Caenorhabditis elegans: one gene and its partner. The protein of the gene in region 1 purifies or fractionates together with the protein of each later gene. This does not show direct contact. Each region holds a gene or a part of one and is shown on either strand. Other genes may lie near its edges. The genes, in order: asic-1 and ttbk-5.

Evidence for each region.
Region 2: the proteins of asic-1 (region 1) and ttbk-5 fractionate together in Caenorhabditis elegans (co-fractionation; one large-scale study listed by BioGRID). This does not show direct contact.

Annotation. Positions count from the first base shown.
Region 1 is NC_003279.8:3,767,748-3,771,674, forward strand, and holds the start of asic-1 (Degenerin-like protein asic-1), read left to right. Parts: upstream 1-1,924; 5' UTR 1,925-1,933; coding exon 1,934-2,124; intron 2,125-2,172; coding exon 2,173-2,296; intron 2,297-2,344; coding exon 2,345-2,500; intron 2,501-2,715; coding exon 2,716-2,892; intron 2,893-3,261; coding exon 3,262-3,501; intron 3,502-3,779; coding exon 3,780-3,902; intron 3,903-3,927. UniProt on the Caenorhabditis elegans protein: Forms voltage-independent, pH-gated trimeric sodium channels that act as postsynaptic excitatory receptors in the nervous system, playing a crucial role in regulating synaptic plasticity, learning, and memory.
Region 2 is NC_003282.8:10,088,873-10,092,799, forward strand, and holds ttbk-5 (non-specific serine/threonine protein kinase), read left to right. Parts: upstream 1-1,785; 5' UTR 1,786-1,861; coding exon 1,862-1,929; intron 1,930-2,215; coding exon 2,216-2,442; intron 2,443-2,494; coding exon 2,495-2,751; intron 2,752-2,803; coding exon 2,804-3,117; intron 3,118-3,163; coding exon 3,164-3,251; intron 3,252-3,295; coding exon 3,296-3,463; 3' UTR 3,464-3,517; downstream 3,518-3,927. Other genes in the region: ttr-39 (Transthyretin-like family protein), read right to left, coding at 714-972.

The DNA of each region.
Region 1 (3,927 bases):
TTGTACGGGATACCTTTATTTTTAGAAAACAAAAAGTCTTAAACACTAAAACTTTTTTCTTTTTGGTTTTCAGTTCAAGGGTTCAAAGTAATCCTACATTTTCGTGTTTTGTTTCTTTTTCCTCCGAATCCTGACGTGTAACCCTTCTCACTCCAAAAAAGTGCAATCTAAAACAGAGGTGAAAACGACATTGATTCGCGGAAAACAATGAAAAATGCATGAAGTCGAAAACCTGGAGGAGAGACAAAGTTGAAAAACGGAACCTGATTGTCACTTACTATTCGTCTCGAAGGGTAGAAGTATAGAAAAGACGAGGAAATACTCGTTAGTTGGATTACTTTTTGAAAAGTGAGCGCCCACCTCCCTAGTCCTCTTGTTTTTCTGTGTGTCACAAAAAGTCTGCCTACTACTTCTGACTTTTTTGGAGTTTACGCTGAAGTTTTCTTGAAAATGAGTTTTGAATTCTGAACTTCCATGCAAAACCTTTTGCGGATAGCTACAGTTTAAATAAAATATCCGAGTTGTGCGTCGAACCCCATTAAAAAAAATTTTTTTGGTCTCCATCCAGAATAATTATTGGTGAAAACTATGTTTTACGAGGGTGCGCTGCAATTGCCATTTGGCAATTTGGGCAATCGCCGATTTTGCCGATTGCCGTAAATTCCCAAAACCAGCAGTTGCCGACATCGCCGATTGCCGGAAATATTGAAAACCGAACATTGCTGGAAATATAAATCTGATACTTTTTGTAGACTTAGAACTATATACATACATTTTACTGAACAATGTTTTCTTTTATTTTAATTGTTAAATTCAAAATACTCTTGAAAAAACATATTAGGTCGTTAATAAAAATTATTACTAGCATATTTTGATAATTCAAATGTTTTTTTAAATTTCATATGGGTGTAAAATACTTCTATGATTAGTTGCCAAAAAATTATATAGTAATACTGTTACCTCTACAATGCTTAGGAATTTTTGCACTATGAAAATATAGTCCCACTTTGCAAACTTTTGTTTCATTTTTTCTCATACTAGAGTTCCTATGACAATTTATACATATATCGCACGTTTGAGAAAAAAATAGCAAAACAAATATATCTTACCGAATGGCTTGATTTGTTTAGCTCTTTGAAGTCCCCTGACAAATGCAAGCAAAATTTTTGTGATATTTCAAATCGTCTTGTCAATCATCAAATTTTAATTGTATGCAAGCAATATTTTCAAACGATAGGCAGGCATGAATTAGGCCTGCCTACATATAAGTAATTTTCCTCTCCTTGCACCATGTTTCCACGCTTTCTTCTCATTTTCCATCAAATAAATATGGTCATTGGGTCTCTAGAAACAGACAAGAGGTAAACAGATTGCTTGTTTCCGGAATAAGTCCACAGTGGTCCTTGTATTCAACCGACAATTACACTCATTTTTGATACATTTCTTCTTCTTTTCTGACATATTCGGGTTCAAAGTTGCATTTGTTCTCATTTTTTGAGAATTGTTTCTTACCTTGAAAAAAGAAACCGGTTAAATACAATTTTTTCAAAAAACATCAGAGAGTTGCAAAAGTTCTATGTAGGCTCAAAACGTTTTCTGCGCCTGCGCCTGCATCCCGCGTATTCCTCCCGTGCCTACAATTTTAAAAATATACTTTTTTTCTTCGTTGTTTCTTAAATTTCCAAAAAAATCTCTTCAAAATTTTGACTGGCAGAATCTAAAAAATTCGTAAGTCTACAGACAATAAATACCGGATGGTTGGTAGGCACGTAGGCAGGCGAGCCAAAAAAGGAGATGTGTTCCTCCTCATGAAATTTTTAACTCATGTATCTTTTTTTAGTTTTGATGATATCGAATACTTTTCAACTTCAAAAATGTATAAGAACTAATTTTTTCATAGTTGGCAATTTTTGATCAAATTTCAGGCCACCAAATGGGAAAGAACAGCTTAAAACGGGCCCTTGAACTTGATGTCGTTGACTTTGCGGAGCACACGAGTGCTCATGGAATTCCTCGAGCATACGTTTCAACTGGATGGAGGAGGTATATGTGGCTTCTTTGTTTCCTTTTCTGTCTTTCTTGTTTCGGACATCAAGCTTATTTAATTGTGGAGAGGTTTAATAGGTAGGAATTGGAAATTTTTGGAATTACACATTATTTTTCTAATTCGAGGAACGATATAATCGTTGGCGTGGAAATAAAATTCGAAGAGATCAAGTTCCCAGCGGTGACAATCTGCAACATGAATCCCTATAAAAATTCGGCGGCTCGAGAACTCGGAGCAATTCGAAACGCGGTCAGACCTTAGCTGATATTAGAAAAATTCTAAATTCTAGATATTCAGATTGAAGCATTCGAGCTAGCAATTGATAAAAGTGATGGGAATGCACATTCAAAAAGGAAAAAGCGATCAGCTAATTCAAAAATGGTCCCGATAGATTTACTGTGTAAGGAGGAGCACGGAATGTTTACTGCTCATGATTATGGGCACGTGGAATGTGTAAGTAGAGTTTTTCCCATGCCGACCAATCAGCGACAAGCAAAGCACTTCACTGATTGGTCGGTGCTTTCTAATCAAAATTGTAATTGAATTTTGCAAGGTTTTGCGCAGTTACTTATGTTATAGCACAGTTATTTCACAATACCATTTTTCCAGGCAAATCGATTTTTAGACTTAGACTCCTTACGAAATCCCTCTAATATTCCCATTTTCAGACATGTGTCACTTTTGAGGATATGTCAAAAGTTGGTGACACCGACGATGATGAAATATTCTGGAATTGTCACCAAAGAAAAGATTGGACACATAAAATTTGCCACTTGGCAGAGGGATCCAATCAATTGAAAACGTGTAAATGCTTTGAGGACACTTGTGTTTCGGATGAGGTTACGGTAAGTTTGGAGGTAGAAAATTGTCTAAAATTGTCGGAATGGATATATAAAAGATTTAAAATTGTCTTCTTTCAAATAAATATAACTCGAAAAATGTTTTAAATTTTATTTTAACAAACTAAAAAATAGGTCGTAATGCGGCAAATATGAAAATTTGCCGAGTTCGACAAATTCGGCAAATGCGCTTTTTCAAAATTTGCCGTGCTCTAGCCGTAATACAGTACCCAATTTGCGCAGCAGTTCAAATAATTCAAAAATATATTTGCAAAATTGTAGTGAAATTTTTGAAAAAATGAAGTTTTAAAAATTGCATCGTTATAAGTATACTTGAACATTTCAGACTATTCTCTATCAAACAAAAAATTCCAGAAACAACTGGTGTGGCCACTTCAACTTTCCAAAAACGGCACAAAACTTTGCATTTCCCCTGAATCCAGTGGTCCCAGATATTGTGCATCTGCTCAAAAATTTCAAGTATCCACGTGTAGTAACTGTGATTGGTTGGGCAAGTGTGAAGAGTCTGATGATATGGATTTGGAAGAAGAAATCGACTCAAAAACTTGTATCTGTCATCATGGAAATTGCTTTCAAATTAAGGGAAATGTTAAGGTGATTTTACTAGGGTTCAGTAGGCAACGTGTAGGCAGGAGGCAGGCATGCAGAGATCTCCTTAAAAAACGGCAGACATTGAGCCAATTCTAATTTGCATCCAGGCATTGCAAGCGTTTGAAAAACAGGTATTATTCTAAAATTCTTGAAATCCAAATTTTCCGATAATTTGGCAACTCAACTGAAAATTATCAAAAATCATTTTTAAAAAATTAGACCATTCTTGGCAAAATTCTCCCTGGCGCTACCCCACCTTTAACTAGATATTCAACTTTCAGAAACGAAAAAGAAGAACTCCCGAGAGGAAAGTCCATGAGCGTCTTCTCAGTAGATATGAGGGTCTACTAGCTGTCTACTCGCATTGTAATTGTACTAAACAACATGGCTGTGTGTCTACTTCGGTGAGTTTTCCTTGAATTGTTTGAT
Region 2 (3,927 bases), on another chromosome or scaffold:
GACGAGAGATCCTGTTTTTTAAGTGAACAATGTTTTATCATAATTTGTTCTTGTTTTGGTATTCACTTGAATTTAAATATTTCTAGGTGTATCGTGGCCCTTTACCGTCCAGTGAGTACATTTAGTTTTTGGTAGGAGTGCACAATTTCAGACGTACGCTCCTGCATGCCTACGCGATTTCCTGATTATCTGCATGTAGTCACGCCTACGTGCCTACCAACATATGTGCCTGTATGACGCCCTTCTACCTATGTGTATACAACCATTCTGCATGTTTGTTCTATCTAAATTTTTTTTTCAAATTCGCGTTCCTACTCATGCCTACAAATATAAGTCCCTGCCTGCCTATGTGCCTACCTGTCGACGTGCCTGTCTTACTAAATAGTCGATTTGAAAGCTTGATATGTGAAAGATCGGACTCTCTATTCCTAAATAGCCCCATAACCAGGTTGTTTCAAAATTTTCCAAACACACCGGCTTTAGGAAATTTTTTGATCCTTGGAAATAACATTACCAAATTATCTTTCGAAATTATTGTACTCTATCTTTTCAAAATTCACTTAGTTTTGAGACATGTAGTGAAGTGTCTGAATCTCTGATTTTGTTATAAGACCACGTGATAAAATTTATCAATCTGAATGTCAACATATTCCATACAACTACTAAAGCTACCAAATAACATGATTCAGAATGTTAAACTGATTATCACTTACACATATCATTATCCCACAATTTGACAGTGGCATTCCTAACTGGGCGTCCTCCACACATTAATTTCCCTTTTACGCCGACTGCCTGTTTTCTTCCAATTGCACGAACTTTGTCAATAAAACGAACTGGCGGCTTCTGAGTTGCAATTAATTCAATTACTTCATCTGTTTCAGATGCATTTGCATTGATTTCATCGAGATTTGAAGCATTGGAGAATGTCAAAAGGATTGTGGCGAATAGTAGAACAATCAAAACTTTCATGATTTTTTGTTTTAACAAAATTGTGAATGCGCAAACAAAAAAAGTGAAATAACAGAAACAACTTCTTGTCTTAAATGTCTTTGTAATCCTAACATAATCCCGAGAAAACAAAAAAGATTTATTAATAGGTTCAAAAGATTAAAATAACAACGCAACTCTTTGCTTATGTACTTCAAAGTTTCGGTTTTCTCATGAAAATAAGAAAAAGAGTTTGAGAATTTTCTAGAATTTGCAGGACTTTTACAAACATCAACAACCAGTAAACATTTATCGATCAGAAACCAAAAACATTCTGGAGAAATTCAAAGTTCAGAGAGTTTTTCAGAGAGATCATAAGCCTATATGGGCACAACAGGACCTTCCCGCCTACCTAAATTTTACGGTGAAAATGTTTTAGAACATTTTCATGTTACATCCATTTCACCTATTAGGCTTCACCTATGCAGGAAATTTCCTTTTTCCAAATTCAGTAACGCTTGGCTCTGCTTTCAAACTTTAGGAACTTCTATATACTAATTTCAGCATTTTGTATCTTTCTCGAAGCGAACACCCTTTTAATCCACTTTTTCATACAAAAATACAAATTCGATATTTGTATTTTAGAGATCTTTTGAAGTGTTCCAGAATAGTTTGCTTTTCTCTACACAAACGTCAAAGGTTTCCTTCGTCACGATTGCCTAGATATACTTCGTGCCAACGAGAATAGATAAAACTATTTAAATTTAAGTCGTGTAACCTTTGAAATACCCCGTAATCCGACCCTTCGAACTTTCCACGTCTTTATCAGAAATACAATCAGAATCGATATTCAAAATCAGTTTCGAAAATTTCCAATTCTCCGCGTAGCAGAAGGCAGCTAAAAAGAAAAAAGTAGCCGATAGAAATAATAATGGCTGTCGATAAGAAAGAAGAGGAAAAGGATCCAATGGACAATGTTCGTTTTAAAATTGGCAAACGGTTAGTTTTTTATCGGAAAATCACACATTTTCCTACGAGGGTTTTGCTCACTGCATCATTTGGAAACTTGCCCAAAGTGGAGTTTTAGAGACAGTCCAGTGAAAATGCTCTTACCTATTTAATGAGCGCGGCTGAGTTTTTCCTTTTGGCGAACACGTAGCAAAATCCAAAATCTTGTTGCTCTGCCCATCTACATTCAAACAAATTGGTTTATACTTGAGCAGTATGCCAATTTGATTTATAGTGGCCTGATTCCTACGTGTCTCCTACAATCTCTAATTTACAGTTTCGGTTCGTATACAATAGAAAAATCTTTGGACGAAGGAGGATTTGGTCAAGTTTACCTCGTGAGAGATAATAGTGGCAAGCGATTCGCATTGAAAGCAGAATCGAACGATATGGAAGGAGGATCTGCAATCAAGTTGGAAGCGTTGATTCTCAGAAAATTGAACGATGGAGAATCGGTGATTCATGTGCCGAAACTTCTTCTTTCAGGAAAACGGAAGAAGTATTGTTAGTTTAAAAATATATAATAAATTTTCAGAAAAACATTTGTATTCTTCAGGTTACATGGTAATGACACTTCTCGGCAAGAACTTGAAGTGTCTGAAGAACAAACGACCCAAGGAGAGATTCACACGTGGCACATGGTCCCGGATTGGAATTCAATGTCTGTACGGGCTTAAATACATGCACGACTGTGGATTTGTCCACAGAGACATTAAGCCGCAGAATTTCATGATGGGTAATGAGGATGACAAGGAAAGAGCTAGAATTGTTCACATTTTGGACTTTGGGCTAGCAAGATCTTTTGCCAAGTTTGTGAGTTGTACATCGAGGAATTTTATAATTGGAATAGTTATACCTTTTCCAGAGCGAGTCATCAAAAACTTGGAGTGCTCGTCGTGCTCGTGGAACTGCAGAATTCCGTGGAACACTTCGTTACACGTCCCCAAATGTCCATTTTCGTAAAGAACAAGGTCGAGTCGACGATATCTGGTCTCTACTCTTCGTGCTCATCGAGCTTAATGGAGGGCTTCCATGGCAGAATGTTCAGAAGAGAGAAGAGGTTGAAGCAATGAAAATGATAATGACAGATCAAGATGTTATGTTGAACATGCCTCCTTGTATGTGTGACATCATTCCTCACTTTCGTACACTTGACTGTTACATGAGACCGGATTATCTGTGAGTTGAAAAAACAAAATATTTAAAAAAAAAAGAAGATTTTCAGTTTGGTGTTCAAAGCTCTTTGGCAAGTGATGCTTAATGAAGGACAGACTACAAGCTCTCGCTTCGATTGGGAAACTTCGGATCCAGATGTATAGCTTGCTTGAGATATCTCTTCCTATACATTCTCTTTCAGCCATCAATCTCTCCGGCGGATTGGGAAAATCCAGACGGTCGTTTCTTCAAACTGGACAAAATCGGAATCAATGGACCACCTCCCATGGACAAATGTGCTGCGGAGTCAACTCAACAAGGGGATGCTCTGAAGAGTGATAAGGGAAGATCGGTGAATCAAAAGAAATAGAGATGAAGAAGATAACTTGTGTTTGATTCCAATAAAATGACTTGTGATAATTTCTTGTTTTATTTGTTACAAACTGGTCTTTAACATACCCGAAAGATTTCAAAGTCGGGTGGTCAATTCAAACCAACAATTGAAAATAATTTCGGGCTTGTTCCAATTGTCCGATTAAAAATTGTCTGAGTAGGCACAATTTCATTTTATTGCTTTCAATTTTGACAACTCGAAGACGTTAAAATGTTATAAAATCAAAACTCCAAAACCAAGATTTTTAATTAAGTAGTTTTAATTAAGTAGTTTCATAAAGTTGATAAATGAAGTAACGGGACAATAATCTTGGTTTTGGAGTTTTTTCCCTGAACTTGGAAATGTAAAACAACATAAATCAATTAATATGGTATTGTTTCACAACAAAAACATTGTAAAACTCAAACGAATAGACCGCTCGCTCCCTTTATTGATAGCAA